Linked DNA regions of Drosophila melanogaster. The protein of the gene in region 2 interacts with the protein of the main gene of each other region in a pairwise test. Each region holds a gene or a part of one and is shown on either strand. Other genes may lie near its edges.

Region 1 (7,522 bases), on a different chromosome or scaffold from region 2:
ACGCAAAACGCTGAGACGATGACAATGTAACGTTTTCCCTTGGTTGTTTCGCAAGTGGAACTTTGCCGAAACTGCTCTGTTCTAATAAGTAAATATTTACGGACCATTCCATGTTATATACATTTTGTATATTGAATCTATAGCTTTTCTATAATTTCCGTATAGCATTTCGTAACTTCTTTACAAATGTTTGTATTTTTATTTAAGTATTATTGATTGTTTAATCATAAGTCTTAATATTTTCAATTAAATTGGGGCATAAGTTCTTAGCTTCCATCTTTTAGCATTTAGAATGTGCTACGATTATAAGAACGAAATTTTCCCGCTCATAAAGGGCACTTAAAGGGCGACTCTAGCTGCGTTTTCTGCCCCAACATGTGCTTACATGTGTGTAAGCGCATTTTGCAACGTGTTGGGGGCTCTGACATGCTGACGGCAACATGCAACACAAGCCACCGAGCGCAGCGGCAACATCAGCAGAACATACGTGCACGGCAGCAACGGCAAGAGGGAACGTTGGAGAAACGGGGAAGGCTTTAGCTACCAGCCATGAAAATCCTTCAGAGTCGCGTCGAAACATCCGCGTGACGACGTCATCGTCGTCGTCATCGTCCTTGTCTTCTATTGTTGCTGTTGCAGCCAGTGTTGCTGTTGTTTCTGCTGCTGCTGCCGCTGGCAGACATTGCTGCAAAGATTTACGGAAAGTTTACAGCCTCAGACATTTGTTGTGGCTTTTATAAATTGTGTCTGTGCGTGGGTGCCAAGGTGTCTCCTCTGGACGCGTTGTGGGTGAGGGGCGTGGCACGGCTGCCTTTGTTGCATTGCAGTAACAGCAGCGGCATCATCAGCAGCGGCAGAAGCAACACGAAACACGTTAAGCGCATTGCCATTTGTGCCACATCACGGCAAACGGCGAGGGAGCTCCTTCCTTGGATCATGGGAATCCCCGCATCTGGCACAAGTTGTTCAATTCAGCAAACAAAATAAGGCGGAGAATAAATAGAGAAAAATACATATAGAAGAAAAAATAAAACACGAAAAATTGCCTGCCTTTGTGCAACCGAATGGCTTAAGCGGGATTTATCGGCATGCCGAAAGGTGAATTCGATTGATTGCTCCGATAAAGATGAGCGATGATTCGGGCTATTGTTATAAGCGAAATTGTATGAGGCCTGTTGTTCAGTTAATTCTACAATTAATCAGTGGCCAAGCGGAAATTGTTGTCAAAAGATTTTGCTCTCCTCGTTCATTTGCAACATTTAAATAACTACCACAATGATTTCGTGAAGGATTCCCCTCTTTCTAAAATTTATTGCTGTGGAAAATATACATATGTACCACGAGTTTTAATTTACGGACTCATTCGTAATTCGTGCATCCATCACGCATCAATTTTTCACGTTTATCGATTACGGTTATTAATCATTCCTTTTCAGGACGATTCGATGCACTTTTGTCGACTCATTCGATGCTGAATCCTTCGGCTTAAGCGCGTTCAGCTTGTTAAATGCGCTGCTGGCAAATTGCATTCCCCATTTCCCTGCCATTTTCCATTTCCCACCCACACTTTCCGCCCACTTCCCGACAGGACACAGATGCTGCCACGACCGTGCGACTGAGATGGATAGCTATACTCGCGTCGTAATTAACATTAATTTCGTATAAACTTTGGCACATTGCGTATACGCCATGTGTGCGAGTGTCACTCGCAGTAATATTATCATACAGCATACACTGAGCATTCAGCAAGCGAACAAAATTTCAGGCGATATTCGCAATTAAAATCATTAAATGCTTAATAAACTTTGGAGATAATGACAATATTAGCGCAGTTTACTTTGCTCAATATATGGTTCCTTGTCGATATTCCATCCTTTTCGATAAGAGAACCCATGTTCTGCGCGTTTTTTCTTCGAGTGCTGAGGTGATACTAGATTGTCGTACCACACAAATTAACTGCGAGCACAATTGTTTTACACATTGTTGTCTGGGTTGTTGTCAAGACAGCAGCAGGGAAATGGAAATCTTTATGTGTGGATATGTGCCTTATGAACCCTTCGCTTAACCCCACTGCATCCCGGGGGTCTGTGTGCGTGCAAATGTGCGAGCTCAAAGTTGAATTTTCTTCAATTGACCTTTTAAAATCCTTTCCTTGTTGGTTCTTAATACAAGCACTTCTTGAATGCTGATTCGCTGACAAAAATGTTTTCTTATTTGTTTCAGGTGAGGGTTGCTTATGATGAAGAAGGCTACTTTCCTTTTAGGTAGATATCAAATTGTAAAAACTCAATTAAAGCAAACGGTAAGCAATGAAAATCCGTCTTAAAGATATCATCGAATCTAGAGATACAGCGGCTTTGGCCTGTTTGCCATTTGCGGTTGGCTGCACTGTAAGCTGACAATTGCAGCTCAAAAGCTCGAAAAGGAAAAGCGATACCAAGTGGGAAGAGCGGAAAACCCAGGGAGCATGGCTAAGGAAAGAGAGGTGGAGTTTTCCCCTCGAAACTAATGAAGTAAAAGCGAAGTAAAAGGGAGAAAGCCATAAACAAACGGCGCGAGCACGTGACTCAGCTCGTTTTTATTATTGTTACCAAGTTGCGCGACATAAATGTATAAAAGGTCCCAAAAAATACTTATTAATTGAAATAACGTTCTTCATTTATGTTTTTATCTCTTCATGCATCTTGTCCTCATTAGCTTAAATAAATTACAATCGGAATCAATTTAAATATACACTTGCTATACAGAAGTTTTTAAATATCTAATACATATTACAGTGAATAAATTAACAAAAGCTATCCAAATAATCAGTGTTATTATGAAATTGGTTTATGAAATTGGTTTAAAATTTGTTTTGATTTAATCAGTCATAATCTTTTAAATTTATTGAAGGTCTTGACATATGTTGATTGAACTCCGATTTTACTGCAATAGACCGCACTTCCTCTGCGGCGGTTCATTCCATTGTCGATTTGAAACTAAAGGAGTTGCCAGTGGGAGGTGGACGAAAGTAGTGGCGTGGGAGGGGGGTGGCCACAGGGAGTTTGCAGTCCTAGTCCGACTGTTGCCCTCTCCCTTGGAAGCGATTCCCCCTCCCCCCTTTTTACCCCTAGTTGCATTTCGTTGTTCTACAGAGGCAACTTGAGTTTTGTTTGTGTTTTGCTTTGTCTTGTATGTTGACACATTTTTCTTTCGCATTTTCTTTTTCAACTATGTATGCATGTGTGTGCGAAACCGGAAATTACAAATGCAACAAAATGTTCTCCAGAGTTTTGATAGCATTGTCTCAGTTGCAGTCTAGGAATCTCTTCTAAAGACGATAATTCCACGCTCGTGACTCCGTCATGGAACTCATTAAAAGAATCACATAATATTAACTTGAAACCGTTAGAAAAAAAAAATAAACAAGTAGTTTGTGAAATAAGTAATCAAAAGTTGATTTCATTTGTTCTAACCTTCTGTCATCAGTATAATTTTACGTCGAGACGTCAACAGTTCGACTCACACAGAATTATAATCACAAAAAAAAAAAACCGACATTTTCTTAAAAATTCCTAAATGGAGAACAACAATTGCGAGGGCGAGCAACCATCGACATCCGGTGCATTCTGTAGGTGCTCCGAGTCTGGCATTGGTATATCTGCCGTCCTGGATCTCGCTCAGTCGGAGTACTCCCTGGACACCACGCCGGAAGCTGTGATGGCGAGTGCATGTCGTCTGGAGAACGAGAACGATGGTAATGATACCGATGAGGAGGTGGAGATCTGCTTCACCAGCTTGATGCCCGATCACCGTAGGCGCTTGTATATGGACTGCAAGCTGTCTCTTCCGGCGGGCGGAAGAGTGCCCATGCGCGGCGGCGCAGAAGCCATTTCCGCTTCCCCACATGGCAGAATCAGTTCTCCGGAAATTCGCTATGAGCGGCTGAGAAATACTGCAGTCGAGGTGCGCAAATACTGGAGATTGCAGAAGCTGGACATGGCTTGTCCGCTGAGCAATTGCGACTTGATGTTCAATCCTGAGCAGCTCCTAAGTCACTGCCTGATGCACCACGAGCACATTATTACAATGGAAATGAAGCCCAAGGAGCCAAAGGTTCTGAAGCTGTGTGGAAAATCCTTGCCCGAGGACAGGGGCAAAAGCAACTGTGTGGGTCTGATGATCTACGAGAGTGGCAACAACGCGACCAGGAACTTAAATCTACCCAATATCTACAAGGACTGGGAGTGCCAATTGCCCGTCCTGATAATGCTGTGGAAGACTTCCTGGGACTCGATGCCCGTCGGACCGCGAGTGACCCATATCTATATTCTGTGGCTGTGCTGTCCCCAGGCCCAGACGCCTTTGTTGGTATCCGTGAATATCGGAGAAAACACTCCGGGAGTGCCACGTCGGCAGATGATTCAGACCTGTCAAGGCTCGGAGACCCTGAAGAATTGCGATCTGCTTTCGGACAGTCCGCATTTTATGCGATTCACACATCGCGAAATGAAGGAGCACACTGAAGACTACACGCTGGACGTCGACCTACAGTTCACCATTCTAGAGGATGAGGGTAGAGTGGGGCCCATATCGCCTAATCCTAATGAGGGCACCTTTCGCGAAGACGACATCGAAATAGAACTTGCGGAAAAGGAGAATACCTCCAAGGAGGAGGTATTTATTGGGAACTCAGAAGGGCCTCAAGCGAACTAAACGCAGTCTATCACAATGATTTTTGGAATGATTTTTCAAAATTATTTGCATTACTTTGATACTGTACCTAAAAATTGTTTCAAGTTTTTTTAAATTATTTTGGATCACTTTGTACTTGGACGAAATACCATATCTCATAAGCAATTCAACATATGCAATCTTGTAAATTTTCATCAAAATTGTATCAGTAAAGATCAAATTCCTTATTAGAACTAAAATTAAATTGTTATTAATTAATGCGATGACAAATTAGTTTGAAAGTGCCATTTACATCGTTCAATAGGTTTAAATAATTAATTGTTTAGTCGATAATAAAATAAAATAAATAATAGTTTCGAACTGCCATTAAATCGGCCCTTTGAGTTCAAACTTGTATGTATGGTATGTGTACATTTGAAAGTGCATCATAATGTTGAGTGTATTTGCAATTTTCTCGGTCAGACTGACAGCTTAATTTAATTATTCTTGAACACAAATGTTGTGGCAAACTCGCCCACTTAACCCGCTGTGTGTTTGCTTGGCCAAAAAGCTGTTCGCTGGAAATTTTTCGCTTACGCCGCAGCGTATGCAACATGTTTGCCATGTGGGGCAGGGGCGTCGTAAAAGAGGGGGACAAGGGCTGTTCGGTTTTGCTGTCCAGGTCGTTGGCAGCCATTAGCACAAATGTCGTCGCAAAAGGGGGCGTGGCGGGCAGAAGGAGGAGTAACTGCATCAACAACTTTTTAACCAACTTGCCAGCCCAGACTAACAAGACCGCAGAAATTGTGAACAGGGGTGTTGTGGAGAGGGGCCAAGGGGACTTGTGGCGGCAAACTAACTAACTCGATGCTTTTGCCTGGCACTTGTAATGTACCGTTATTGTTGCAACAGCACCGCCGGGGGTGGGCGGAGGTGGTTTTGGCTGCTTTGTCCGCGAAATACTTTTCTGTCCTTTTTATTCGGTTGCAAAAAAAAAAAAAAAAGAAAATGTAAGCTCAACTTCAGCTGCAGAGATTTTTCGGTCAGCGTTAATGCAGCAGTGTTACCCCCCTGAAGAGGACTACACCCCCCGCACCATTTGTGCCAGGGCCGCTGAACGCTTTATGAGCAATGCATCCGAGCACTGAGAGAAATGGGTCGACCTGTTTCAAGTAATACGAATATCCGCCCGAACAGGATTGGTTTCGGTTTTCGGTTTAACGAACGTAATCGTAGATTAGTGACAACGATCAAGTACATTGATATAAGGCTGTCACTACAATTTTTATGCCGCCGCAAAAACAAAAATATTGTAAATAGAGAATACCCATTTAAGGACCCAATCCTTTTCGCTTATATTTTGCGATGCTAGATTGCTTTCTTCTTTTCGGTCAGTGAATCCCCGCGGTCAGTTCCATTGCGGTCTGCTCATCTGTGTCCGTGTCTGCCAAGTTTTTGGACCCCTTGACCCCGGTCCCGTCCCCATCGCCACGCCCCGAAGAACCACGGTAAAATAGTGGCCAACTTTTTGTGTATGTACCACGGAGCACAGGGTCCCCCTTCGGACACTTTAAATTGCACACAAATTGGCAGAAATGGCTGTTGCCAGAGTTCCATTTTTGGCCGTTGCCTTTGACAATTTTTTGCCCGGGAAAGTTGCTGTTTTCCGCCCGAAAATAAAAAGAACGCATTTTAATAAAACTAAGACAATAACGACTTTGCGTCTCCCTTTGTTCGAACAACCTCCCCCCCCACCCCACCCCTTTACAGCCATTCTACTTTTTGTCTAGTCTGGTCTTCGGAGAATTAAGTGGTGTGGTTTGATGTTGTCCAGGGGCAGCCGCAGAATAAGTGGCAATTGAGCATTTGATTGGGCAGTGAGTCTGAGAAGTTTGCAGCCACGGCTGTGAGCATTGAAATATGGCTCGACAATCAGATGGCTGGCTTTAATTATTGTTTCAGCTTAATTTGTATATTTGCGAACTTAACTGGCGCAACATTCGGCTATAATTGCTGTACAAATTGAAATTTGTTCGGCTGTCTTGCTGGCCCTTAACAATTAATCATACAATTGCATTCAATTTATGTTTATTTGTTTTCATGGCTTGTTGTTTTTCGCTTGAACAGGCCAACTAACCAATTAAATAATGTATTTTCAATTTGCATTGGCAGAAACAGGAGCGAGTTCGCACGAAAATGTTGCCTACTTTTTAGGATCGCTGTAAGTGAAGGGTTTCGAAATCTATTGTTTAATATGGATACGTAATACGTATGTATACACGTATTTGTTTAAACTTTAACTAACAATTTCAGTTTCTGATTGCGTGCGTAAATAATTGCCAAAACAATTAAATCATCAAGCTCTGATTAATTTACTTTAATGCATTAAAGCATTTCTTGCAAGTACTTTACTATTCAACTGCGTTGTGATCTAATGTGCATGTAAAATATATATTGTATCAAGTCTCATAGTCGTATTAGGTTTGTAAGTAAATAAGTACTCTTACACAATTAAAATAATTTATGTTTATTAGCAACAGAAAATAAAATTGAATCTATTACTTATTCATTCAACGTCCGCCCACAAACACGATAAAATTATACTCTTCTTTTCGTTGGCAAGTCAAAGTAACGCTCAAGTAATCCATCAAATATTGCCATTTATTGCTGGTTACTGGTACTTTCTGGGTCACTTGCCCGGCCACGTTTCTCCACAGCTCCAGTGCTCCGCCATTCGCAGGAGCCGGAGCAGAAGCAGGAGCAGGACAATAAACGGCAGCAGTCACCCTTTGTCCGGAGTGCTCAGACCTGCGTCCCGTGTCCTTTTCCCCGGACCTCTGCTCTTTTGCGACGTGCAAGCTGCATGAAT
Region 2 (8,099 bases):
AAGAAGAGTTAAAAGCGGGCTTGCTGCACCGATTCGGAAGGCACACTGCACTGTTGCGTCGGATTACGGACACCAGACACATTTTGGAGGCGACTCTGGGACTTTGCCACCGTCTCCGCTGGCCAACTTCGAGTCCGCCCACGCAACTATGAATTTTCATGGGACTGGTTTGGTTTGCTTTGGTTTTGGAACAACAATTGCGAGCAGCACGACGAGATTTCCATGCTGCTGGGTGTTGGGTTTTGGGTTTTGGGTTTCTCGCACACATGTTACACATTTTCATCGATTCGTAGCAGTGGCTTTAGTATATGGCGGAGTAATTAATGGCAAAAACTTACAACAGAATCGATTTTTATTCACACGGACACTCAAACACACACACAAACACACACACACACATGCAAGTGGCGCGTAGTGTGCGTAAAAAACAAGTGGGAAAAACGCCGACAAAAAGTCTCGATATACAGGGTGCAATTCGAAAACGCTCACTTTGCTGGTACTCGGAACACCGATAGCAACACTTTGCACAACAAATACGAGCTGAGAGTGACGAAAAACAATAATTTTTTGATAATTTCGCGCAGCCAAAGCGATGTTGGTGTTGTTCTTTCGTGTGGTTCGCGAGCGAACTGATTCCGAAAATCCGAAACCAGGGATGGGGTGGCACAGAAACAGCTGTGGAGTCGCGGACCAGGGCTGCGCAGGAACTTTTAACTTACTTAAAAGTGTTACTTTTCGTAACGTTAACAATTTGTTTAAGATCATTTTTTTTTACTTACACTTCGTATTTTTGATTTGATCTTTTGTTAGGTTCTTGTGTCAGCTGCTTTGCCTGCTCTTTTGATTTTCGCACCCACTCTCAACTAATTTCACTGAATATTTAATTGAAAGACTATTTTTTCGTAAAGCTTTCGGTTTTCAATCCACTTTTCACACTTCGCAGCCCAAATTTGGTTATTTGAAGTTCATCGTTCGTTTTGGGGCATTTAGTGCACTTTGTTTTTATTGGGGGATAAATCGATTTTTTTGATTTTTCGGCTCGCACGTCGGAGTAAAGGGACGCACTTCACACTTCCTTTTCCACACTTTGTTTACTGCCCAATTTGGTCATGTTGGATTCAGGGATTATTTGCTTGGGCTTTTCACACATCTCAACGGCTTTCAATTCGATTTACTGGTTTTCGGCAAAAGTTTTCATCAAGAGCAGGACACGAGAAGGCGCACGCTGTCAACTGAACTAAATTCCTTTATACCAGGACAGGATTCAAATGGGGGTGGCTTCGCTTCGCCTCAGATTCCGACTCCGGAACCCAGAGCACATGCGCCATCCACGGATGCGTTCAAATCCCACTTTCCCGCTCGCGCACTTGAGTTATTCCGGAACCATAAACAATAAAATGTACCCGAAATAGAAAGATCCTAACTCATAAGCAAAATATTTAATTTCCCGTAGAAGCTCTCTTTCTAATTACATTAGCTCATATACTTTAAATTAATTATTAAGTCGACTTACACATTCTAGTGTATGCAAAACAATCTCAACTATATCTTTAAACAGCTATAAATACACAACATACGGCGAATTTGGAAACAAAACTTCAAACTTGTGCTATTTGAAGGGGTGAACTCAAGTGGGGGGTCAGCGATAGTCGATCATGATATGGTTATAAATATTATCTAACGTGGGTATAGCCGCAGCTGGGGTATCAGCTTGGGTGGCGTTCTCCCCTCCGGGATCAGGCGCTGGTTCAGGCTGAGCATCTTGGATGACGGCGGGATTCGAAGCTGGAGTATCCTTGGTGGCTGGCCTCGGTTTTTTGCCGAAGGCGAAGCAGCCACTCTGTTTGGTGGCCACCGGCGACAGATTGTCCTTGTTCTTGGTGCTACAAACGGAATTGTAATGGAATCATTTAGAAATTGTCATTATATGTACGATTTTGGTTAACCTACAATGCCTTGAGCGCCTCCAGCTTGGGTATATTTCTGTTGTGCGACCTGCCGCCGCCCGCCGCTTCTTGAGCAGCCAGCTCCTCGGGATGCGACTTCTTCTTGTGCGTGCGGCAGTTGGAGCCGTTGGCAAAGGTGCGGTCGCAAAAATCGCAGGAGTAAGGCTTCAGTCCTGTGTGCAGGATGAGGTGATTCTTCAGCGCCTTGGCGCGCTTAAACTCCCGGCCGCAGTAGTCGCACTTGTGCTGCATCTGATCCGTGTGCACCAGTCGATGGCGATTCAAGGTGGTCCGCGAATTCAGCTGCATTCCGCATTCGGGGCAGATGTACTTGTGCGGATCATGCGTCTCCTTGTGGTGTTTCAGACGATTGGCCGACTTAAAGCACTTCTTGCACACCTCGCACTCGAAGGGGGCGTAGTCCGTGTGCTTGAGGACGTGCTCCTTGAGCGCGCTCATCGAGTGCACACCCACACCGCACTGCTCGCAAATCACCGGCCGCGGCCGCTCATCCAGGTGCATGTACTGCTCGTGCTGCTGGGCGGATGCACTGGTGGCGAACTTCTTGTCGCAACTGCTACAGGCGTACTGCTTGCGCTTGGGCAGGGGCACGTGCCATTTCATGTGCCTCTCCAGCTGGTAGTGTAGACGAAACTTCTTGGGGCAATCCGGGCATTGCAGCTGCTCGGTTGTGGGCTCAGTCTGGCCATGATCCTGGCGCAGGTGGCGCTGCAGGGTTTTGGACGTGGCGTAGCTTCGCAAGCACTCGTTGCACTGGTGTCTTTTCTCAGAGTCTGCTGCATCCTCTCCAGCTTTTTCGGTACTCGGCGAGGAGCCATCCAAGCTGCCAGCAGAAGAGTTATCCTCCTGAATGCCATACACATCGCAGAGGCTCATTAGTACACGATCTTCATTCGGTTCGTAGTCGGCATCCTGCTCATCTGGCTCCTCCGTCGGCTGATCCTGCTCCTGATCTACGCTTTCCTGCTTTTCCTCTGGCGTTAGTGGGTTTGCCAGCTCGTAAGGCGACTCCTCTGGCAGAAACTCGAGCTGTTCATCCAACTTCGGCTTCTTGTCCACATAGTGCACCTCAGTCTGCGTCTCCTCGTCCAGCAAACCAAATTTCGAGCGCAGCTCGTGGAGATTTGGCCTCTCCTGGCTGGGCGTGCTCTGCAGGATGCAGTAAAGCTTCTGCACGCGGGTAATCCGTTCCGAGAAATTCACCAGCGAGGTGACCAGCGACAGGCACTCACTGCATATCGTCTCCGGCAGCTCTTCACCTCGAGTTATCTGATGATGGGGCAAGAGAAATCAAGATAAGCTGGTTAGCTTGTGGAAATCCAAGGAGCCACGAGGAGCGCACTCACATTCACCCAGAAGTACTTGCCAATGGCGGTGGCCAGTTCCATGGAGGCTGCCTCGCCGGAATCCTCGTTCTTGAGGAACACATTCAAGTTGCCTTGCACGTCGTCCTTGGCGCACAGGCGACACCACTGTCGCCAGTCGCTGCTGGGATTTCGATCGACATGGGGAGCCGCCGGAGCAGCGTGCATCTCCACCTGCGCGGCGGCCATCGGGGAGCTCAGCAGTTGGTTATAAATAAACAAATAAATAAATAAAGCGTAAACATATTGGATTGGATGGCTGGATCCGAGCTGGAACTGGATCTCGAACTAGAACTGGAGCCGGAACCAGTGTTGCAGATGCTGCCAGATCAGTCGGATTAAGTGATTTCAATTGGATACCCTTAAATAGAAAAGGATTAACCTACAGCTTTAAGTCAAATTCTAAGATCTATGTTCACTAGCTTCATCATCAGACATCAAATGAACTTAAATCCGCAACCGAAACTAATCTAACAAGCTTTGTTCTTAACTCCGCAGCAGTCCGGCATCTCTACACTTGCAGCGAAACAGCTGACTGGCTTCATTTTGTTTGTTTCCAATTGTGAATTTAACGGGACAGCGATTGTCAATTTTGAAAATTGGAAAAATGCTCGAGGCGCGTTTGAGTCAGACTTTGCTGCTGAAGAAGATCGTCGATGCACTAAAGGAAATCATCGCCCAGGGAACGCTGGACTGCAGTGAAAATGGTCTGGAGGTGAAGAGAATAACCCTCCATCTGTCATTTTGTTTCGAATTCCCATAAAAGCTGTTAAGTAGTTCCATTGAGACTTGGGACTGAAAATGAAAAGTTGAGATAAGAAATAAAGCTTTTACAACTCTATATTCCAGCTGCAATCGATGGACAACTCCCACGTTTCGCTGGTGGCCCTAAGTCTGGCTTCGGATTGTTTTGAAAAGTTTCACTGCGATCGCAATGTCTCGCTGGGCTTGGATCTGAAATCCCTGGGCAAGGTGCTTAAGTGCGCCAATAGCGACGATGCGGTCACCATTAAGGCCGTTGACAGACCGGAGAAGATTACGCTCAGCTTCGAGTCGGATGGCAAGGAGCGCACGGCGGACTACGAGCTGAAGCTCCTCAATCTGGACCAGGATCACATGGAGATTCCGAAAAAGGACTACACCTGCTTCATCCAGTTGCCGTCGTCAGAGTTCGCGCGCATTTGCCGGGACATGAGCATGTTCGACGAGTCCCTGACGATCGCCTGCTCCTCGAAGGGCATCAGGTTCTTGGCCAAGGGAGATCTGGGCACGGCCAACATTCAGCTGAGTGCGGGCACCGCCATGGACGTGAGCATTGAGGTGCAGGAGCCCGTGACCCAGTCCTTCGCCGGTCGCTACCTCAACACCTTCACCAAGGCCACTCCGCTGGCAGATCGCGTCAAGCTCTACCTGTCCGACGAGCGGCCACTCCTGGTGGAGTATCCCATCGAGGATTACGGCCACATTCGATACTACCTTGCACCCAAGGTGAATGACCCCGATTTCTAGCTGAAGAACTACTCAACTCAGTTATTGCATAAATTCGAGCGCAATTTAAAGCATAAGGAAAGGGGATAAACGATATTTTTAGGCAACAAATACCAAAAATCATTTTTTTTAAAGCATAGTATAAAAATATAACTTGTAATAAAAACTATTTAATTGTAATTAAAAAAACATTTTACAAATTCAAATTTATATACGAAAAAACTAATTTTAAACCTTGTTATTAATTATTATTAAGTTTTTAAGGTTATCTTAATGTAGATCTCACATTTTCTATTCAGAATACTTTTGTTTTTTCATGTTGAAGCTACAAAAGAAATTAGTAAGCTATTAATATGATACAAGAACGGTTAAATAGATGCTTATAATTATTGTTTTTTTTTATGTTTTTTTTTACATTCATTAAATTCAAATTAGTTTAAAAATAATTGAAAAACAGATAAAATTAAAATTAAACAAGTAAAAATATTGTATTTTAAACTGACCAGTGATGCCGGACCTTTTGATGGCCAGTGTTGTTAGGCGCAGACTGGTCACCCTAAGTTACTGCACGTATGTGGGAACAGCTGACAACCCTGGCCAAACGCAAATGCGGAGCTAAACAAAAACCGAAAAACTTAAAAACCGGCATAAAATCCCACGCAAGTACAAGTGAACAATGGACACCGAGGAAGTGAAGCGCGGCCGCGGACGAGGGCGTGGCACCAGGGCTCGCGGGCGCGGACGTGGCCGAGGACGCGGTCGTGGCAAGAAAATCGACGACAGCAGCATCGCCGACGCCGCAGCCCTGGCGGCCAGCAGCTGTGCAGCCCTGGAGGACAGTCCGGGAAGACTGGACGCCTCCGAAGATTCGGTCATGCAGGAGCTCGACAAGGACGGCGAACTGGAAACGCCCGGCGCTCTGGAGGAGCCCCTGCCGCACGGTGCGCTAGGAGCGGTCGCCGCCAGCGGGAACATGACTCCAGCGACGCAACAGCCACAGGTCCTGCAGCAAGTGCCACCGCCCGTGATGAGCCAAACAAGTGAGTCTCCTCCCCTATTGAATGGTTGTCCAAGATAGTTAAATTGATTAACATCTTGGCTTGACCAATTCCTTGGTATCCAAACTTGAAGCATTGAACAAAGCTATCTCGCTATCTCTCGCCCGCGCAGTCGACATGGAGGCGGACATATCGCAACTGGAGGCGCCCACTTTCACCACGCTTTCGCGCGGACCGCCGGAGCCGATGCTGCGCCTTAAGTGGAACCACAAGGTGAGCCTGATCGGCGAGAAGGTGCTGAACCCGATGATCCACTGCTGCGATCAGTGCGACAAGCCGATCCTCGTCTACGGCCGCATGATACCCTGCAAGCATGTATTTTGCCTCAAGTGCGCCCGCGCCGAGCCCATCAAGAGTTGTCCCCGCTGCACGGACAAGGTGTTGCGCGTGGAGCAGAGTGGCCTGGGCACCGTGTTCATGTGCACGCACGGCGGCAGTCGCTACGGCAGCTCCGGCTGCCGTAGAACATACCTTTCGCAACGCGACCTGCAGGCGCACATCAATCACAGACATGTGGCGCCGCAGCCGCCACCGTTGCAGCCACAGCCGCAGCTGTCAGCCATGGCGGAGCAGCCAAAAATGACGGATCTGGGCGGCGTCGGTCTGGGCCTGGAGTTGCACAAGCAGCGCAAGGCGAGTGGTAGCTATGGCTCCTAAACTAAGCTGTCCTGTCTATAAAAAAACAACCGCTTGCCCCTTGCAGCTCTCCGAGTCGTCTGTCCCCATATCCGTTTCCGCCTCCATTGCGTCCCGTCCCGTCCTGTCGCGGCTGCCACTGACCGGCGGTGTCGGTAACATCGGTAGTATTGGTAGTATACCGCCACCAGGATCCGCCGCCGCCGCCCAAAACGCCATCCACGGCGGCCACTCGACGCTCACGCTGGCCAATTTGACCAGGATCAACAATGCCAATGCGCAGGAATGTCACCAGGGCAAGGCCTCGCTGCACCACACGCTCAAGAAGGGCACGCCCCACCAGTCCGAGTCGGTGGCGGATGCCTCCTACTACAGCAGCGTGCTCGCCTCCTTTGGCAGTGCGGCCGGGAATCCGGGTTCTGGGCCACCCGGCGGTGGGGCAACAGCAGCAGCACAGCCCGCCAATCCGAGTGGCAGCCATTCCGCTGTTGGCCCAGGTGCCCTGATTGGAGGCTCCACCGACGCGCCAACTGGTGGCTCGAGTGGCAACTGGCAGCAGTCGCAATACTACAGATAGGGGGACGAAAGCGAGGGGCTAGTAACCAGGGTAGACGCTTTAACGCAGGCACGCAGGCTTTTAATTAAGTGAACAAGTGTATGTTAAGCTGAACTGAACACTATTAAAGATATTTTACGGGGTTAGGCCAACCCGAACCAAAAAATAAATGCTACTCCGGTTTTAAAGCTTGGGCTAAACTTAATTCTTAATGTAGTAGTGAAGTGGTTATCGTGGCGAACAAATCAGGATAACAATTTTATGAATACCTTTGCGGTTCTCAAGCTGAACGAAATTCAAAAATCCCGCCCGATTGGCGGCCAATCGATGACGGTACGGTTTCCACTCGAGCTGAATGAAATTCAAAAAGCCCGCTCGATTGGCCGCCTATCGATGACGATACGCTCCAGCTGGTTGCTGTTCCAGCGAAATACAAAAGGTAAACAAATGCGACTTGGAGCACAGACTTCGAATGGAGCATTAGCATAAACACAACAGGCCGCAGTGCCGGAGTCAAGTGGCAGGGCCCAGGGTGAACACAACCACATCCAGTATCTGATGAGCACAGCGTAGAACTTAGGAAATCGAGGCCACAAGCAGAAGCAGCAGGAGAAGCAGCGGTTGTGAAAGAAGTTGGCGAGCAAAAGTGAAAGTTGCGCCAGAAAAATGATGAAAATTGTACTCATCAGCGGCAAGCGAAAGTGCGGCAAGGATTACATATCCGAGAGGCTGCAGCGGAGGTGGGTGCAGTGCATAGCTAGTCGTAGAAATCTTGCCAATTTGTTAAATTTGCACTGCTTGCTGCAGAAATATTCAGACAAATAAAATCCAATTCCATTCCAGATTGGGCTCCCGGTCGTGTATCGTTCGAATCTCAGAGCCCATTAAGTCGGAATGGGCTCGCAAGCTGCAGTTGGACCTGGACGCTCTCCTCGGTGATGGACCCTACAAGGAGAAGTACCGGCGCGACATGATTGTGTGGAGCGACGAGGTGCGGGCCCAGGACTACGGCTACTTCTGCCGCGTGGCC
Region 3 (9,418 bases), on a different chromosome or scaffold from region 2:
AAGCTGCACTGCGTCCGCGTGCTGACCTCGTAAAACACACTGGCCATGATCTTGCCTGGCAGCAGCTCGTCCACCGGACGATCCTTCGTACCCCGCAGCTTGAGCAGCTGTGCCAGGTTAAAGATGTCGTTGAGGTGATCTTTGTTGAACATGTCAACGGCAAGGATGTGCTTGCCCATTAGCGAGTGGGCCACCGGATTTGAGTTGGTAGTGCGCTGCAAGTATTCCCGCAGCGTGGTGTTGCTGGCGGAATCCAGACGGATGCGTGGGGATGGCGAGTTGGGGCGCAGGAAGTTGGCTCCGTCCACAAAGTGCACCTTGGTCGATATTCCATGTACGCCTCCACCGGGTCCTTCGGAGGTGAGGAGGCGGGTAAAGGTGTCATTGGCATCGTTGTCGCTGGGCAGCAGATCCTGTGATGCCTCCGACGCCAATGGACTCTGTTTGGGGCGCACATTCTGCCCGAAGCCGGGCTGCACCAACACTTGGCCATCGACGAAGGCCACCTCGCCGCGAAGAACCACCCGGTGGACGCGTCCCTTGACCTTGGTGCCCTCAAATGGTGTCCAGCCGGACTTGCTCTTCATCTCATTGCCCGTTATGGTCCACTCCTCGTCGAGATCCACCTCCACGTAGGTCTGCGCCTGATCCGGCAGGTTGAAGATGATTTTTGGATTGCGATGGAACTTCCTCTTGATGTCCTCCATCGTCAAACGACCCTCGTGAACAGCCTGCAGGAGGAGCGGCAGAATGGTCTCCACGCCCGGAAATCCAGGCGGTGGACGCTCCGAACGTTTCTCGGCCAGTGTGTGTGGCGCGTGATCGGTGGCAAATACATCGATGTAATCAATATTCTCCCACAGAGCCTCTTGATCCTCCGGTGAGCAGAGCAATGGCCTTACCTCGGACATTCCGTGACCCAAACGCTCCACATCCTTGGTGCTGAGGAACAAGTGATGGGGGCACACCTCGCAGGTCACCTTGACGCCCTTTTCCTTGGCGGAACGAATCAATTGGATCTCCTCCTTTCGCGCCACATGGCAGATGTGAACCGAACGGTCGAGAAGATGGGCCAGCATAATCACAGCCGCTGTGCTCTGCCTCTCCGCATGACAAACGATGGGAGACCGCTTGGGCCAGTGGCTGAGATGCCTCTGCCAGCTGGTCATGTCGCTCAGTTTTAGGGTGCCGAAAGTGTCGTTTAAGTACATCTTAAGGCCACACGCATGACTGGCCAGCTCGTTGACCTGCGCCCAATTGTCATCCGAGGCCCCCACATACAGGGCATAGTCGCATCGAGCTCCCGCTTTGGCCAGCTCCTGGAACTGGGTGAACGTCTCTCTGTCCACGATCGAGGGATTTGTATTGGGCATGGCGCACACGAGGGTCACGCCGCCAGCCAGAGCGGCTGCTGTTCCACTGGCAAAGTCCTCCTTGTGCGTGGCTCCCGGCTCCCGCAAATGCACATGCACATCGATGAAGCCCGGCAGCTTCACAATTCTACGCGAGGTCATACAATCCGTGTGCGTCTTCATTGGCGGCTTGCCACCGTTCATTCGCATTGATTCTACCAGAAGCTTGGTGCACTTCACATCGGTCACCAGCGGAATGGAGTAGTCCACGGCCAGGCGACGGGTGCGGTAGCCATGGGTCATGAACGAGGAGACCCTGGAATAGTATCAGGAAATCACATTTACTTGGAGATACATATGTACATATAATCAAAAGGCACTGCCTTAAAACTAACAACTATTAATTCTTCAACTAATTGCTCTAATTTTAAAAATAAGAGAATAGCTTGCGTAAAAACACACGGATAAACTGACATACGGACATGACAAGATATACTTTTTAGGTTTGGAACTGTCTTCAATTTTATAAAAAACACTAAAAATATATCGTTCGGATATCAGTTTTACTCCACACAAACGAAAATTCTTTGCACTCAGTTATAAGTACTTTGCACTCCAATTGGACTTTAAAGAAAATATAAATAACATTTAAGATGTCTGAGCCAGATAAGAAATGGAATTAAGACAAGCCCTTTTTATAACTTAATAACTTAAATTATATGCCAAATTGTTGTGCAAACTGTGTTCAAGGCCCAAAAATTCCAGTGACTAACATTTGTTTGAATATTGAATCATTAAGTCGTTAATACCCCTGAAAACAGAACTTTTATCAAAGTAGGTTAGCTATATAAATATGCATATCCGCTACAAGAAATATGTTATATATGTTTTATAGGTAAACACAATTAGAAAACAAATACTATTCGCACTTGCAGACTTCTTCCTGAAGTTCCATGGATCACCAACTTAGTGGCATATATATTTGGGGGCCATTAAAAAGAGTCACCATCGAATCGTACTCACCGCCTGGCACCCCCGCCGCTCATCGGGAGGTTGATGACCAGGTCGAACTGCTTGTTGGCCAGGAACTCGGCCAGGTGTCTCAGCTCACCGTTGATGTCATCGGGAGTCGTCTTGTCGAATGTCCACTGCACGGATTCCACCTGCAAGGGCAAAAGCACACATATATACAATATTTACTCGTACATAGACATAGATCATATACAATGGTATATATATATATATATATATATAGAGAATGCGACCGACCGATCATCACCAAGGCCACATGTCATCGTCATCCGCGCCACCAACTCTACTTCCAATCAATTGTTTGCCCAGAGTACACCATATAGATACCATTATTTATGGATCTTTCATGTCTACATCGAAGACAATAGAGCAACAGGCCATGGCAATGGCACAGTGGTGCAGATATGTACGATCTTACACAATAATTCCAAATAAATCGAACTTTGAACATTTGATATGTGAATAGTGGTAATAAGATATATTCAATCGAACTAAGAGTGCAATCAGAAGAAAATCTTAAGTTACTATTTTAAGATAAGAATTCAATAGATCAATTTTTATATTATATTTCCTTTGAAGACCATCTATTTTAGACGCCTCCTTGAGTTTTTTGTCTGTTTGTGCGGCACAGTGAAGTGGAAATCAATTCCGTTTTCATGGAAGCACCAGGAACTGGCTGATAATGGATAATTGGGCCGAAGGAGGTGGTGGCCGGAAGAGTCGTTCAGCTCTTATCTTTCCGATTGCCATTACTAGATCGCAGATCGCAGGTAATTGGTAATTGGTGATTGGTGAACTCCGATCGCAGATTGTACACTTTATCAGCCGGAATTCAGTCACAAATCAGCGATCGTCCGTTGAGTATGGGCTGCTCCTGGTCGCGATCCGAGCAGGTGGATTCCAGTGCCACGCCCAATGCCCTGCAGGCGGGCATTCCCGCCCAGCGCCAACAGAGGAGGCGGCGCCAAGAGGAGAAGCATCTCCGCCAGCTGCAGAAGCTCCAAAAGCGTAACGCGCGTAAACGTCGCCGAAAGAAGGGCGCAGGATCTGGATCTGCCAGCGCCGGAGGATCTTTCCTCGGTCGTGGTGGATCGATTCACAGACGACACATCAACGGAAAAAGCCATCCTGATCTCGCCCTGCAACTGCGTCTACTGGGCGGCAGCAATGGAAGCACGGCCACCGAATGTGTCAGTGCCCTGTATGCCAGAACATTGGAGCAGCAGCGCGAGGAGTTCCAGCGGACCGTGGAGCAGAGGACCCTACACCAATTGGACCGCGAACTGCACACCTTCCTGCTGAACCAATTGCTTCTGGGTATCCAGTTCTTTGGGCACTTCGAGGCCGAGATGGCCGTGGTCGATGCCCAAATCGTGGCCAGGCGACGCAACTGCTCCGCCGAAAAGCTGGCCGAGCACAGCTTGCTCCAAAGTAGCGCCATCGATGCAGCTGTCGCCAGGAACCTGCTCTTCAAGCCGCCGTAAGTCTTTTCCTTATCCTCTCTCCATACTTTCTAGATTTTTCTATACTTTTTTGCCTACATTTTATGATCTTCTCTTTTTTCATTTTAAAATTGGTTTTTAATATATGTATTTATAACCGATTTCAGATCTTCGAAGAGTCCACCACAGCTGCTGCAGAAACCCGTGACCTATGTGGTCTTTGAGAACGTTGACGTGGCGCGACCCCACGATGCCAACTACGACACCGTGGCGGCACTGTGCAAGGTGCTCCTGGAGACGGACTACTACCGGACCACGCCCTGCCCCTCGGAGCTAGTCAACTTGATGGAGATGACCAGGTGGATGGGCTATGTTCGCCTCAAGCTGCGCGACCAATTGCCGCATCCGCAGGCGGGCACGCCCACTAGCTCCAGCTTATCTTTGCCGGCCAGCAGCGATGAGGAATGCATCTACGGTGATGTGGGATCCTCCGCATCCAACTCCCCATCCTCGGGCTACAGTTCGGGGGACTACGATTATGTCTACTTGGCCAGGTTGAATACTCCGCGACCGCTGGAGGAGCTGCGATTTGATCGCGATTTCAATTTCCAGAGGAATGTCCTACCTGGGAATTGCATTCGCCGTTTGGCCAATTGTCTGCCTCCTTGGCTAGAGCAAACCGACGACGAGGAGTCATCCTCCGCCGCCTCCAGCAGTGACGAGGACGAGAAGGATGAGGCGAATTCCGATAATCGCAAATATCCACCGGCTGGCTATGAAACGGTGGAGGTGCTTCGCCAGTGTCATGTGGAGCAACTGCAGCAGTGCTACCTCAGTTCGCAGCAGTTCATGTTGTACTTTGGAGAGGTGCTGCGTCATCATTTGGCTAACCAATTGGGCATCAGCCAATCGCAGCTGGCCGCGTGTTCGTATCGCGGCTGTAGTGTATATACCGCTCGCGAGGAGCTGGTGCCCGCCATTCATGTGCCCAATTCCTGGCCGGATTGCGCCTTCGAGTTTTGGCTGAGGGCTCGTCCTCGTTTGACCAACCTCCATACTGCCGAACAATTCCAATGGCCAACGGAGCAGATGAAAAAACGTATTCGATCCATGGGCTTCCATGTTGTACCAGTGGGCTATGCACCAAAGCGTTCGCGAAATCCCTTCAGGGAACTGGAATGGCGCATTGTCTTTCCCCAGGCGGAACAGTTTCTCGAGCGGCACTGCCTGACGCCCATGCAATTGAAGGTGTTCCAACTAATGAAGCTGCTGGTCAAAACCTTTGTGGACGAATCAACCACATCCTGTGACCAATCCCCGGGAGCTTTGCTCGAACAGCTGAGAGCCCATATGTTTTGGCAATGTGAGCAGCACAGCAATGATTGGCCAGAGGAGTTTCTGGGCGAGCGATTGGTTCGATTCATTCGCTCCTTCGACGCCTGTTTGGCCAAGAAACACCTGAGCGACTACTTCATTGAGCGGCGCAATCTATTCGAGCATATCCCAGAGGATACGCTGATGAAGCTGCGCAGCATAATGGCCGGAATTGCGGAACAACCGCTGCTGCATGTCATCCAGGCACTGAGGAATCTTCAGCACGCGCCGGAATTCTACCCGCAACTGGAGTACAAGCGACTGTTGGAGAATCTCTTTAGCCAGGATTACCTGGAGCTGCACGGACGGGGCAAGTTCTCGCGTCCACGTCAGGGATTTCCCGCTCTGCAGAACTGTGAAGAAAACAATGGCGGGCAGCAGGTGGAAACGAAAAAAAAAACCGAAAGGACGGAGATCACCGATGCCAAGGGACTCTTGGGATTGGCTCAGCACCAGGAGCGCTCGAGAGGAAAGCTGCGCAGGAAGACACAGCTCTTAAGGGCCACGACTCAGCAATTTCAAATCTCGGCGACGGAACAAAGACGTTGCTCGCTCGACTCCCTGGATCGCCAATTGCTATTGGCACGCTCCAATCCGGAAAGTTCCAAGAGCCAGGAAGCAGCGAAACCGCAACTGAACAACGGCTTGGAGATCCTGCGAAGGAGCAATCTGATCGAACTTCTGCTGGATCATTCGCTGGCCATGTTGGCTCGTGCCATTCGGTTTGGCAACCGTGGACATGCACAGCTTTATCTGGAGCATGGGCAAAGATTGTGCCGCCTTTATCAGCACCTCGGTTGCTCGCAGCAGGCACAGCACTTCGTCCAGGAACTACAGAACGCAGCCAGCGATATGGAACGCATGTGTGAATCGCATATACCAACGTCATCGGGCGGCAGTCCCTCCACGGTGGTTGAATCTCCGCCAGCGCCAAGGAAATCCATCAAGTTCCAGGAGCATGTCGTGCAGATACACACTCCAGAACCGCTGGCCATGCAGAAGCATATGCCCCATCTGGAAAACCATCAGCTCAATGGGATTCTAAGAGCTCACCACCAAGAGGATGCGAACGCCATTGAACCCCTACAGGAGGAGGAGATCAAGAGCGCGTTGCTTCGGGAAATAGAAAGTCGCATAGAAGAAAAACCCAATGTCCAAAGAGATAGAGAACCAATAGATTCTCCTGAAGTGGATAGCCTTAAGCCGCAAACGGGAATCAAATCAAAATCGGAGGAAACAGCCAAGGAGGAATCATTTCTCTCGCTAAACGGAATCCTTCAAAGGCTCTCCCTCGACACGGATAAGGTGCAAATGCTGGGCAGCAAAACGGAGCAACTGGTCCAAAGAGTAGCCCCATCCGAGGCCAAGCGGGATGAACTCAAGGAGATCCTCAAGCGCAACGCACAGAAGCTCAAGGGCGCATTCAACTAGAGACACTAAAGATAATACTACCATATAGTAGCCAAATTGCTAAATCCCGGCGATTAGTGATATATTGATATATTGATAACAGATAAACCAGTTGTGATAAGGGCGGTTAGAGATAGAGATAGAAATATATATATAGTTATGGGCCATAATTATTGTCCATACCATGTGCGCCATATATATTTTCGTAATTAGTAATCTTGAAATCAACGTAATTTCTCTATGATAATAATGTTATTGAATTTGTAAACCAATGTCATGGAAAATAAATAATGCAATATAAACAACCGTTCAATTTGTAAACCAAGTCAGGGAAAACAAATAGTAGGAAATGAGTATTGAAACTACTCAACTTTGTTGACTCGCATCTCCAATGGATTTTGATTAAAGTTGCATGATATACAATAAGCACACAGACATAAATATACTCACATTAACTCCGTGTTCGGCATAAAAGTCGCCAGTGCCCATGGAAGCGTATAGCTTGTAACCCATCTTGGCCAGATCCCGTATGGAAGGCAGCAGCTCCATCTTGTGCTGCAGATGAATGGAGTTATTAATGGAGTAACTAATATCAATAATCAATGGAGTGGCCAACAAACCTTGAAACTGCCAATGGAGAGAAGTACGGCGTTCTTGGGTATCTGGAAGCCCGTGGACATCATGGCCTTGAGATACGCCTCATAGCGGTTGTCCCCGAAGCAGGCAACCTCACCGGTGGAGGCCATCTCGACGCCCAGCTGTACATCCGCGCCCGCGAGCCGCGAGAAACTGAACTGTGGCACCTTGACGCCCACCTTGCCGACGCCATGGAGCACATCCAGTGGCTCCACATCGAGTCCCACAATCGCACGCGTCGCCGTGGCCACAAAGTCGTGGTCCAGCGTCTTGGAGACGAAGGGGAAGGATCGCGACACACGGACATTGCATTCGATGACCTTCAGCTCGTTGTTCTTGGCAATTAGCTGCATGTTGAAGGGACCGGTGACATCCAGTACGCTGGCCAAATCGCATGTGATCCGTTTAATGGCCTCCAGGGTCTCCGCATTCAGATCCTGCGGTGGGGTAACCAGCGTGGCATCACCTGAATGCACTCCGGCATTCTCCACGTGCTCCGAAACAGCCATGCACAGGATGCGTCCATCGGATGCCACTGCATCCACATCGATCTCCTTGGCCTCGGTGAGGAACTTCGAAATGACAACCGGATGCTCGCGACTCACCTCGGAGGCGGCGTTCAGATATGTCTCCAGATCCTGATTGGAATAGGCCACATTCATGGCCGCACCGGAGAGCACATAGGATGGCCTAACCAGACAGGGATAGCCAACCTCCTCGCAAAATTCGATGGCCGACTGTAGGTTGGTCAGCTCCTTCCAGCGTGGCTGCAAGATACCCTTCCTGTCCAGCATGCGCGAGAATTTAAATCGATTTTCGGCACAGTCGATGGACTCCGGCGATGTGCCCAACACCTTCGCCTGCTGGCGATGCAGATCCATGGCTATATTGTTGGGCAGCTGGCCGCCCATGGACAGAATGATGCCCTCGCTATTCTCCATCTCGTAGATGTCCATGACCACCTCGAAGCTAATCTCCTCGAAATACAAGCGATCGCACATATCGTAGTCGGTGGAAACCGTTTCAGGATTGTAGTTAATCATGATGGTGGGTCGCTGTAGCTTCCTCAATTCGCGCAGGCAGCCCACGGCACACCAATCAAACTCCACTGAGGATCCGATACGATAGACGCCCGAGCCCACCACAATAGTGTGTCCGCCGGGGAAGTCCACATCGTGCTCGCTTCCGTTATATGTGTGGTACAGATAGTTGGTACTGGCGGGCCATTCGCCGGCCACCGTGTCGATCTGCTTGACATGCGGGCGGATGCCAAACTCCTGCCGCTGGTGACGAACAGCCAGCTCCGTGCTCTTAATGTACTTAGCTATCTGCTTGTCCGAAAAACCAAAACGCTTGGCCTTCAACAGCAGAGCGGCATCGGTTCGACTGCCATTACGGGTGAGCAGGGACTGCAGTAAGATGATCCTTTCCAGCTTTTCCAGAAACCAATAATCGATATTGGTTAGTTGATGCAGCTCCCTAAGGCTCATGCCCAATTGCAAAGCAGCGGCAATGACGAAGGGACGACGATCCGTCGGCTCCGAAAGCTGCTCGGCCAGCTGCTCCTTGTTAAGCGGAACCACATCCGGATCAAAGCCAAGCACATCGCTGTCCACCATGCGCAGGGCTTTTTGGAACGCTTCCTCGAAGTTGCGACCGATGGCCATCACCTCACCGACACTTTTCATCGAGCTGCCAATGTGCTTGCTAACCCGCACGAATTTGGCCAAATCCCAGCGTGGAATCTTGACCACACAGTAATCGAGGGATGGCTCAAAGCAGGCCGTCGTATTGCCCGTCACCGAGTTCTTGATATCTGGCAGGGGCAATCCCAAAGCCAACTTGGCGGCCACATAGGCCAGTGGATAGCCGGTGGCCTTGCTGGCCAACGCGGAGCTGCGCGACAGTCGGGCGTTCACCTCGATAATGTAGTACTGCTCCGAATGGGGACACAAGGCGTACTGAATGTTGCACTCGCCAACGACACCAAAGTGACGGATAACCTTCAGGGCGGTGCTGCGGAGCATTTGGTACTCGCGATCCGAGAGGGTCTGCGATGGGGCCACCACAATACTCTCGCCCGTGTGGATGCCCAGGGGATCGAAGTTCTCCATGTTGCATACGGTAATGCAGTTGTTGTAGGCATCGCGCACCACCTCGTACTCCACCTCC

What was found. The genes of interacting proteins can lie anywhere in the genome.
Region 1: the proteins of Hakai (region 2) and CG1314 interact in a two-hybrid assay, tested with the Drosophila melanogaster proteins (one large-scale study listed by BioGRID).
Region 3: the proteins of Hakai (region 2) and CG15865 interact in a two-hybrid assay, tested with the Drosophila melanogaster proteins (one large-scale study listed by BioGRID).

Annotation. Positions count from the first base shown.
Region 1 is NC_004354.4:20,865,376-20,872,897, reverse strand, and holds CG1314 (uncharacterized protein), read left to right. Parts: upstream 1-3,500; 5' UTR 3,501-3,558; coding exon 3,559-4,695; 3' UTR 4,696-4,909; downstream 4,910-7,522.
Region 2 is NT_033779.5:19,579,767-19,587,865, reverse strand, and holds Hakai (hakai), read left to right. Parts: upstream 1-5,391; 5' UTR 5,392-5,495; coding exon 5,496-5,859; intron 5,860-5,962; coding exon 5,963-6,510; coding exon of another isoform or gene 6,511-6,534; exon of another isoform or gene 6,535-6,580; coding exon 6,581-7,090; 3' UTR 7,091-7,254; downstream 7,255-8,099. Other genes in the region: CG10366 (uncharacterized protein), read right to left, coding at 1,640-1,883, 1,951-3,236, 3,314-3,520; PCNA2 (proliferating cell nuclear antigen 2), read left to right, coding at 3,939-4,046, 4,181-4,840; Pmvk (phosphomevalonate kinase), read left to right, coding at 7,736-7,809, 7,913-8,099.
Region 3 is NC_004354.4:16,658,285-16,667,702, reverse strand, and holds CG15865 (uncharacterized protein), read left to right. Parts: upstream 1-3,247; coding exon 3,248-3,864; intron 3,865-3,993; coding exon 3,994-6,631; 3' UTR 6,632-6,805; downstream 6,806-9,418. Other genes in the region: r (rudimentary), read right to left, coding at 1-1,668, 2,376-2,515, 7,061-7,165, 7,231-9,418.